2 linked regions of the Arabidopsis thaliana genome follow. The protein of the gene in region 1 interacts with the protein of each later gene in a pairwise test. Each region holds a gene or a part of one and is shown on either strand. Other genes may lie near its edges. The genes, in order: AT5G47860 and AT1G72030.

Region 1 (3,926 bases):
AGGTAGAAAGCATTATGACTTCATGTGTCAAAATTCAAAGGTAGTATTTACTGCCATTTAAAAACATAATTAGAGAACAAAATCTATAGGGACTAAGTGCACTTATGACAGCATTTCTTGAGTTACCAAACAAATTGATCATATACAACACCAACAGCAAGAAGTTAGACTATCACTTGGGAAACTAGCTAAGAGCTGCACATCTTAAAAAGAGTAGAGCAAATGAATCAAAACCTTACCCCAAGGCGGATTGTTGGGGATGTTGCCACCTGTGACAACAGTGGTCCAAGGCTTTGAGCCATCGGGACAAGAACTGGGGAGAACAAAGGAATAGCTAAGCTTGCTTCCTGCAAAAATGTAGGGTTCCAAAAAGATATCACTTTTTACAGGTTTTGTGATTCCATAACAGGATTCACAATATCTTTACAATAAAAAAAAGTATTACTTTAGATCAGTTTTCCCCAAACAATTCTGATTGCAACTCTGATTGACTTTGGTAAGATAGCAAAACCAATTTACCTTGTTGTTGAATGCCATAAATACGTTCCCATTTCGCTGAACAGCATACCTTGATCCTGAATGACTAGTGAAAACCAACTCAATAAAAAAACTAATGAGCTGAATCAGTTTTAAACATTCACAACCATTTAAACCTAGTTACCAATCAGAAGGTGAATAACAGATCCCAGTGAATGACCGATCCCAAAAGACGGAAGATCCTGCACCTGTTGAAAGAAAATGAACTACTATTCAACATTGACACCAATTTTTCTTCTCCTGGATCATAGAAAAAGCTAGAACAAAAAAGATTTCTTGTTTCTCTAGGATCACAAAAGGACACTCACTTCTTCTTGTAGAGATCGGCAACATCTATCATACTTAAATTGTACTTCATCTGCAATATTGAAGTGGTCAAAACCACTAGCATATGGTGTCGCAATAACCAAAACATCCCTGCAAACATCACAACGTTATCATAAATTCATGAAACAAACTAGAGTTAGATAAGCCAGATTCATTAGTACATTTTTTTGTTTGCTCATCTATCTTATGAAATTGTCTACACCATGAGACTTACTTCTCCGCTAATCTCTCGAGAAACAATCGATAAGTAAGCTGTGGTGCTGCACCGACAAATATACCGCCAATGAAATGAACAACCATCTTCGGTTTCGAGTTTCTTGGTTTCAGCACCCATGCTCCCTAAAACAAGTTCACCGAATCGTTGAGAACATAAATCTGAAACAAAAAACTTATTCTAAAACCAGACAATTCTCCTAAATTTGACTTAGATTCTAAGAATCATCCATTAAACATTCAAATCAACATTTGAAGATAAGCTCCTAAAATGTTCATATCCAAAAACACATAGAGAAATTGAGATAACACAAAAACACACACCTCAACTTCTGACCAATCAGAGGATCCACCGGAGCTACTCTGAGAATTTTTTACAGTCTCTGTTAATAACCTGAAAATCAAATTTGATTCCACCATAGTGAGCTTAAAGATGAAGCTAGCTACGCGAAAAATCAAGAGTGGCTTTACCTCTCGATTTCGCCGTAGACTTGAATTCCTGTAGACTGATTCCGATCTCTGTTTATATCGTTCTCTTTGGAGCTACAGAAGACTCTTCGTGAGACACGCTCTTTGTTGAAACTGAATATTGAAGGTAGAGACCGGCGATTGTGAGAAAAACTACAGAATCGCCGGCGCGGAGAAAAAGACGGTGGTGGTAAGAGGGAACATGTAGCCATAACTCGGAGTTGGAGGAGATTTTGGGGTTTTTGAGATTTTCGTCGTCGAGAGTTTATATTCCGTTCAGATTTTGAAATCGGAGTCGTGTACGCATAAGACTTCTATGACTGTAACAGCATCTTGTTTCGCAGCTAACGCAAACATTGTGATCAGACCAAAAACTTAATTGTTAACTGTGTGAAAGGTAATTGGGCTTCAATTATACTTAATGGGCCACATTTGCTTTCATTAAATGACGAAGAGTGTCATCCTCTCATGAAGGATTTGTACAAGCCCTATTATGAATGTTAAAAGATCTTGGAATATATAAACGAAAGTCATTCTTTATTTTGTTTCAACCAAAGGATTAAGTATAGTTTTTAGATACGACGATGCCACTGAAAGTAAGTGTTGAAATTTTCAAAGAGTTGACCATAAAAATAATTTAGAATAGAGAAAAATCACTATGAATGAAGTAAATAAGACTTAGTTTTGGTCTCTTGGTAAGGAGGTGTCTCTGTCTCTGTCTCATGTCTCTCTAACCGCGTTGATTTGCCGTCTTAAAAACACAACTCCTCAAACATAAAACATTCACACGCCATGAGAACTCTTCTTCAATGGCACTTACCATCTCAATCTCTTGTTTCTCCTCTTACTTTGTGTCTCTCCTTCTTCTTGTTCTATCTTCCTTCTCCTTTGTTTGCTTCTCCCTCTCCACCGTCTCCATCTCCCACATCTCTAATCAGACTCTTGTATGTGCTCTCAACAACCACTCTTATCTTCAATGTTCCAGTTTCCCTTTAAATTCGATTCCATTTTCTTTAACCGGTAACCTTCGAAATCGAAGGTTTTCGGGGGTTGTTTCAGGGAATGGGTTTGTGTGCGGATTGATATCGCGGCTGGATTCCAACACTTCCACACTTCTTTGTTGGAGATTCTCTGTTGATGGAACTAATATGTTGCACAAAAGAATCTACCACGGTCCTGAGCTCGAAGAGCTAGAAGCCGGGAATTTCCGCATTTGTGGAGTTGAAAGAGTCTCAAGGCGCCTCCGTTGCTGGCAACCGTACTATCTGCCACGGCCGGATAATTACCGTTCCATTGCCTTGGGAGATAATTTTTTCTGTGGGCTATCTCAGCCACCTGGTATGATCAGTTGTGAAGGTATAGCCAAAGTGCCGAGTGGAGACCACTACATCGCGATAGCGGCTGGATCACGACAAGCGTGTGCGATCACTGTTGACAATGATGTCGAGTGTTGGGGACAAACACAGTCGCTGCCACGTGAAAAGTTCTTAGCACTAGCGGTTGGGGAAGACCGTGGTTGCGGTGTTAGATGGTCTAATGGAACTGTGGTGTGTTGGGGCAACAACAACAACTTTAGTTTGCCTCAAACGCTTAAGGACATTCATTTTACATCAATATATGCTAAAGGGCCAATGTTTTGCGGTGTTGCCACAAGAAATTACACTCTAATTTGTTGGGGGAATGAGAATTTTAAATCCGGTGTTTTCACTCCATTCCAAGGCCTAATTTCTCAAGTGGTAATGCCAGGACCGTGTAGAAGAGAATGCCCTTACCGTCCATTGTCAGGATCACAGTCCTTATGCGGCAATGAGTTGATGATTTGCGATTTGAAAAGAAATGATGGAGAGTTTCCTGATACTAGGGCTCAAAACTCTAAGAACAAAACTTGGAGCAGAAGAAACATTGCGTTTCTAGTGGTCGGATGCGTTGGAACGTTTTCCTTGCTCCTTGTCATCAGTTTCTTGATCTTTAAAAGCCACTGTCGATGCCGTGTCCATGACTCTGGACGTCTTGATGATACTAGGACAATAGACATACCCAAGCTCGAGAAGAGGCTGTGCACTCTAGCAAGTTTAGGTAATCCTGGGCAGCTAATGGAGTTCTCAATTGACGAGCTAGCTCTAGCCACGGATGGTTTCTCTGTCCGGTTTCATCTTGGTATAGGCAGCTTCGGCTCTGTTTATCAAGGTGTTTTGTCGGATGGACGTCATGTCGCAATCAAACGAGCTGAGCTAACAAATCCTACATTGTCTGGGACAACGATGAGACACCGACGAGCAGATAAGGATTCAGCGTTCGTGAACGAGCTAGAGTCTATGTCGCGGCTTAACCACAAAAATCTTGTTCGACTTCTGGGTTTCTATGAGGACACAGAAGAGAGG
Region 2 (3,750 bases), on another chromosome or scaffold:
TTACTTGGAAGGAAATCATATGCATTCTAGTATCCAGAAGGTAAACTTATCTCTTTTTTGCATTCTTTGTGCTAAAAGTCTGAAGATAGATTTTGCTTAGACTGGTTCATTGGTTGTAACAGGTCCCTGCTCTGGTTTTGGACTGTGAACCCAATATCGACTTCAGCCGGGATATTGAAGCAAAGACACAGTAAGTGCTCACACTACTGTAATGTCACCATAACTTATTTGGAATCATAAATCTAATAGATACTTTCTTGATTGATGTTGTTAAAAGGTATGCACGCCAGGTCGCTGAGTTCTTTGAGTTTGTGAAGAAGAAGCAAGAAACATCTACAGAGAAGAGCAACAGTCAGTCGCCGGTACTGCTACCACATCAGAATGGAGGTCTCTGGATGGGACCAGCAGGCAATCATGTCCCGGGATTAGATCTCCCGCCTCTAGATCTCAAGTCACTCCTCACTAGACCGTCTGCGTGACTGTCCATTCACTGACTCTGTTTTTGTTGGCTCCAAGGGAGCGTGTCAGGTTATTGAATGTCAATAGTTTCGATCGGCTTTTATATCGTTTATTTAGGAAAAAAACGTTTGCTGCCGCTTTTGTCCATCTTAGATGTAGAAACAAAACATGGTCGTGCCACCGTTTAGTTTAACCCTTTTGTATAAAAGTTTGGTCTCTGGATAATTTGTTTCTTGAAATCTTGTTGGTCGTCTAAAATTTCAGTTCAGTTCATGTTTCTGCACATTTACTCTGTATCCAATTAGATGGTAGTGTGTTTATTGTTTTAACCAAAATGTACATGAAGAAAACGCCTAAGAAAAGCGTTTACTCATAAGAACGCGACGTTTTCTGCCTATCCAAGTAGAGGTCCACAACGGGTCAGTCTCGACCACACTGTAGCCGGCATTCGAGTAAAGATTTCTAGCAGCTGCATCGTCTTCATAAGCTCTTAGAGCAAGAAGCTTGAAACCCCACAAGTAACACAAAACATCACATGCCTTTAACAATGTACTTGCCATCTTCTTTCTCCTTTGAGATTTTGAGACAGCTAAACCCGAGACGTATAGATATTCTTCGACGCCCGGAAAATAGCGAAGTACTGAACTTTCAGTTTGAGCTGTTACATCAACTACTCCGACAACACTTGAGCTCGACAAAGTTTCAGTTTCACTTGTTTGCTCCGCCACGAGACATGCATATCTGCCAAATTCTTAAAACTTTTATAATTAATCACATTTAAAAACTAGTCTTAAAGAAATTATGTTATGTTATTTGTTTTACCTGTCAGGTGGTGAATTCTTTAGTTTGTAAAGAAGTGCTGATAGAACCTCTGCCTGTATTACATATTATCAAAATCTTCATATACATCAAAACAATAATCTTCAATGTAAATCATATATGAGAATGAAAAATAAACAAACCTGAAAAAACATGAAGAAAAAATCATCAAAAAGAGCAAGAGGGATGTGGAAAGCTTCGGCTTGAACAAGAGACACTCTCCTGATCTCATCCTCGTCGTCTCTATTCAATCTCCTCACGTCCCACCCGTGTTGACTCACCAGATACTTCAACTCTATCTCCGCCGCATTATTCTGAGTCAAACTCGTTAACGACTCCGTCGACGCGCACCGTAGGAACACCGGGAAGCGGCTCCACGTCAGCTTCCGTTGATCTACTCCTAGACCGGAGCTTCCAGGATATGGAAACTTTGGTCCAGCGGCGGAGTAGAGGCTCTGTGGCAAGTGACCCATGTTTATTTTTCTAGCATTTTTCAAAAAAAAAAAAGAGAATCTTTATTATGTTCGTTTTCATGCGCTTTAATATGAAACGTAGAGATAAGATACGCTTCTTGCTTCCATCGTCTGTTTTCTGTGGTTAAGAATCATCGCTAGCTCATGACCATCCAGAGATTTTTTTGGGGTTAGAAAAGATAAAATAGTTCAGCTACGTGGACAAATGGTGACTCTACACGTGGAGATTTGCAAGCAAAAATTAGTATATTTCATGTTCATCAAAGAAAGTGACATGAATTTTTATTTTGACATGTTATATGATTCCTAAGAAAATTCCCAAAGTTTTTTTTTTCTGAACATTTTTGTCAGCTTTTACTTAAAACAAAAATATTTGAACAACACAGTTAAATAAAGGCCTTGTGTAAGAGTAAATGGGCCTGGCCCAAAAGAAGATGTCGCTTTGCACGTGTGATATCATCTCTCATTTCTCAGTCTCCTCTCCTCCCCAAAACAAATTCGCCGTAAAATTTCCAGAGAAGTCGTTCATCATTTGCAATTTCTCGATTAGTTCTGAATCATGGCGTTGAGCACCAGCATCAGATCTGTATCTAAGATCATTGCTTCTTCCGAAGCATCAGTCTCCAGATCTGGTCAGTACCAATAGAAGTATCTGCTGAATTGGTTTTGCATTTCTTTGTTTTTCCCCTTTTTTGTTGTCTAGGGTTTTGTTTGATTTCCCAGGAATCGATTATTCTAAGGTTTTGTTTGATTGCCTAGATATCAATGTTTCTGATTAGCCGCGGATTGATTCCGATGCGATTCTTCGTTGATTGAATTCTGGGATTTGAAACTTCTCTGCTCGCGAATTTGTCATAGAAACACGCTTTAATGGCGTGATGCGAAACAGATTGTTTATGATTAGGCTGAAAAATTGTATCATGAAATTAGAAATGCATATTTTGATGTTTCCTTGTTTCATGGAAATTTTCCATGTTCGTGTTTTGATAGTTTTGGTTGATCAGTGAAAGGCTCCATGTTCATGCTATGATCAGCTTGTTTTGATGTATCTCTTGAAACTAAATGGGCTATAAGATGATTTATGAGTGTTTGATTGGTAATATTTCAAAACTTGCTGAAGATTTCTTTGATATCATCAACAACAGTGACTAGAAGCTTCCACTCGACTGGAGTTAAGAAGATGAGCGGAGGAGGACATGGTGGTTACGATGAATACTACCTCCACGCAAAACACATGTACAATTTGGACCGCATGAAGTACCAAGCTCTCAAGATGTCTCTCGGTGTATTCACCGCTTTCAGCATCGGTGTTGGGGTTCCTATCTTCGCAGTCGTTTTCCAGCAGAGGAAGACTCAATCTGGTTAAGTCCCTCAGGATGCTCTTGTTCACAGCTTGAATAATTTGTATGAATTCTCAAACTCTGCTTTTGCAAGAGAGTTTTTCTTTCTCCCTTTGGATCTTAGCCACAAGTCTTATCGTTATGGTTAAGTCTTCTGTGTCTTCCTCTTTTGCTGGCTGTTTGATGCTGTAATAATGATAATCTGACAGATATATTTTTTTTTACTTTGATTGGAAGTGAAAGTTTTGTTTGAGTATCGTAGAACCCAAAAGCCAAGAAAGATCAACATATTCACAAATCTATTAATAAAAAGGTACAATCAAAAGGAGAGATGAAATCAAGAAAACACACATAGGCACACAAAAACCCACAAATGATGTGACAAATCTGTTCAAAAGCTTAAAACCATTATCTGTTTCACCATATTTGTCATTCAAGCATGGCAGCATTCAACCGCCATCGCCAAAACATGTTTTACAAATGGAGTTGCTAATAGCCAAACCGCAGATTGCGAATCTTCAAACTCGAGTGTGGTCATTACAATGTCATGAGGTGGAACTAGAGAAAAGGATTGATCACTTTTTGTCATCACCACCATTTTCACTAGCTTGACTCTGGTTTGGCTCTTGATGTTGGAGCTGATGCTGATGTTGATCTAG

Evidence for each region.
Region 2: the proteins of AT5G47860 (region 1) and AT1G72030 interact in a two-hybrid assay, tested with the Arabidopsis thaliana proteins (one large-scale study listed by BioGRID).

The regions. Positions count from the first base shown.
Region 1 is NC_003076.8:19,379,487-19,383,412, reverse strand, and holds the start of AT5G47860 (Gut esterase (DUF1350)), read right to left. Parts: upstream 1,895-3,926; 5' UTR 1,758-1,894; coding exon 1,549-1,757; intron 1,472-1,548; coding exon 1,402-1,471; intron 1,204-1,401; coding exon 1,079-1,203; intron 955-1,078; coding exon 846-954; intron 726-845; coding exon 662-725; intron 576-661; coding exon 520-575; intron 348-519; coding exon 240-347; intron 1-239. Other genes in the region: CCR4 (CRINKLY4 related 4), read left to right, coding at 2,355-3,926.
Region 2 is NC_003070.9:27,108,888-27,112,637, reverse strand, and holds AT1G72030 (Acyl-CoA N-acyltransferases (NAT) superfamily protein), read right to left. Parts: upstream 1,807-3,750; 5' UTR 1,752-1,806; coding exon 1,422-1,751; intron 1,335-1,421; coding exon 1,282-1,334; intron 1,201-1,281; coding exon 813-1,200; 3' UTR 706-812; downstream 1-705. Other genes in the region: dNK (P-loop containing nucleoside triphosphate hydrolases superfamily protein), read left to right, coding at 1-40, 123-190, 278-479; AT1G72020 (TonB-dependent heme receptor A), read left to right, coding at 2,311-2,383, 2,897-3,117; AT1G72010 (TCP family transcription factor), read right to left, coding at 3,667-3,750. UniProt on the Arabidopsis thaliana protein: Protein acetyltransferase with dual specificity triggering both N-alpha-acetylation (NTA), with a preference for leucine, methionine, serine, valine and to a lower extent threonine and alanine as substrates (can also use glycine), and epsilon-lysine acetylation (KA) of several plastid proteins.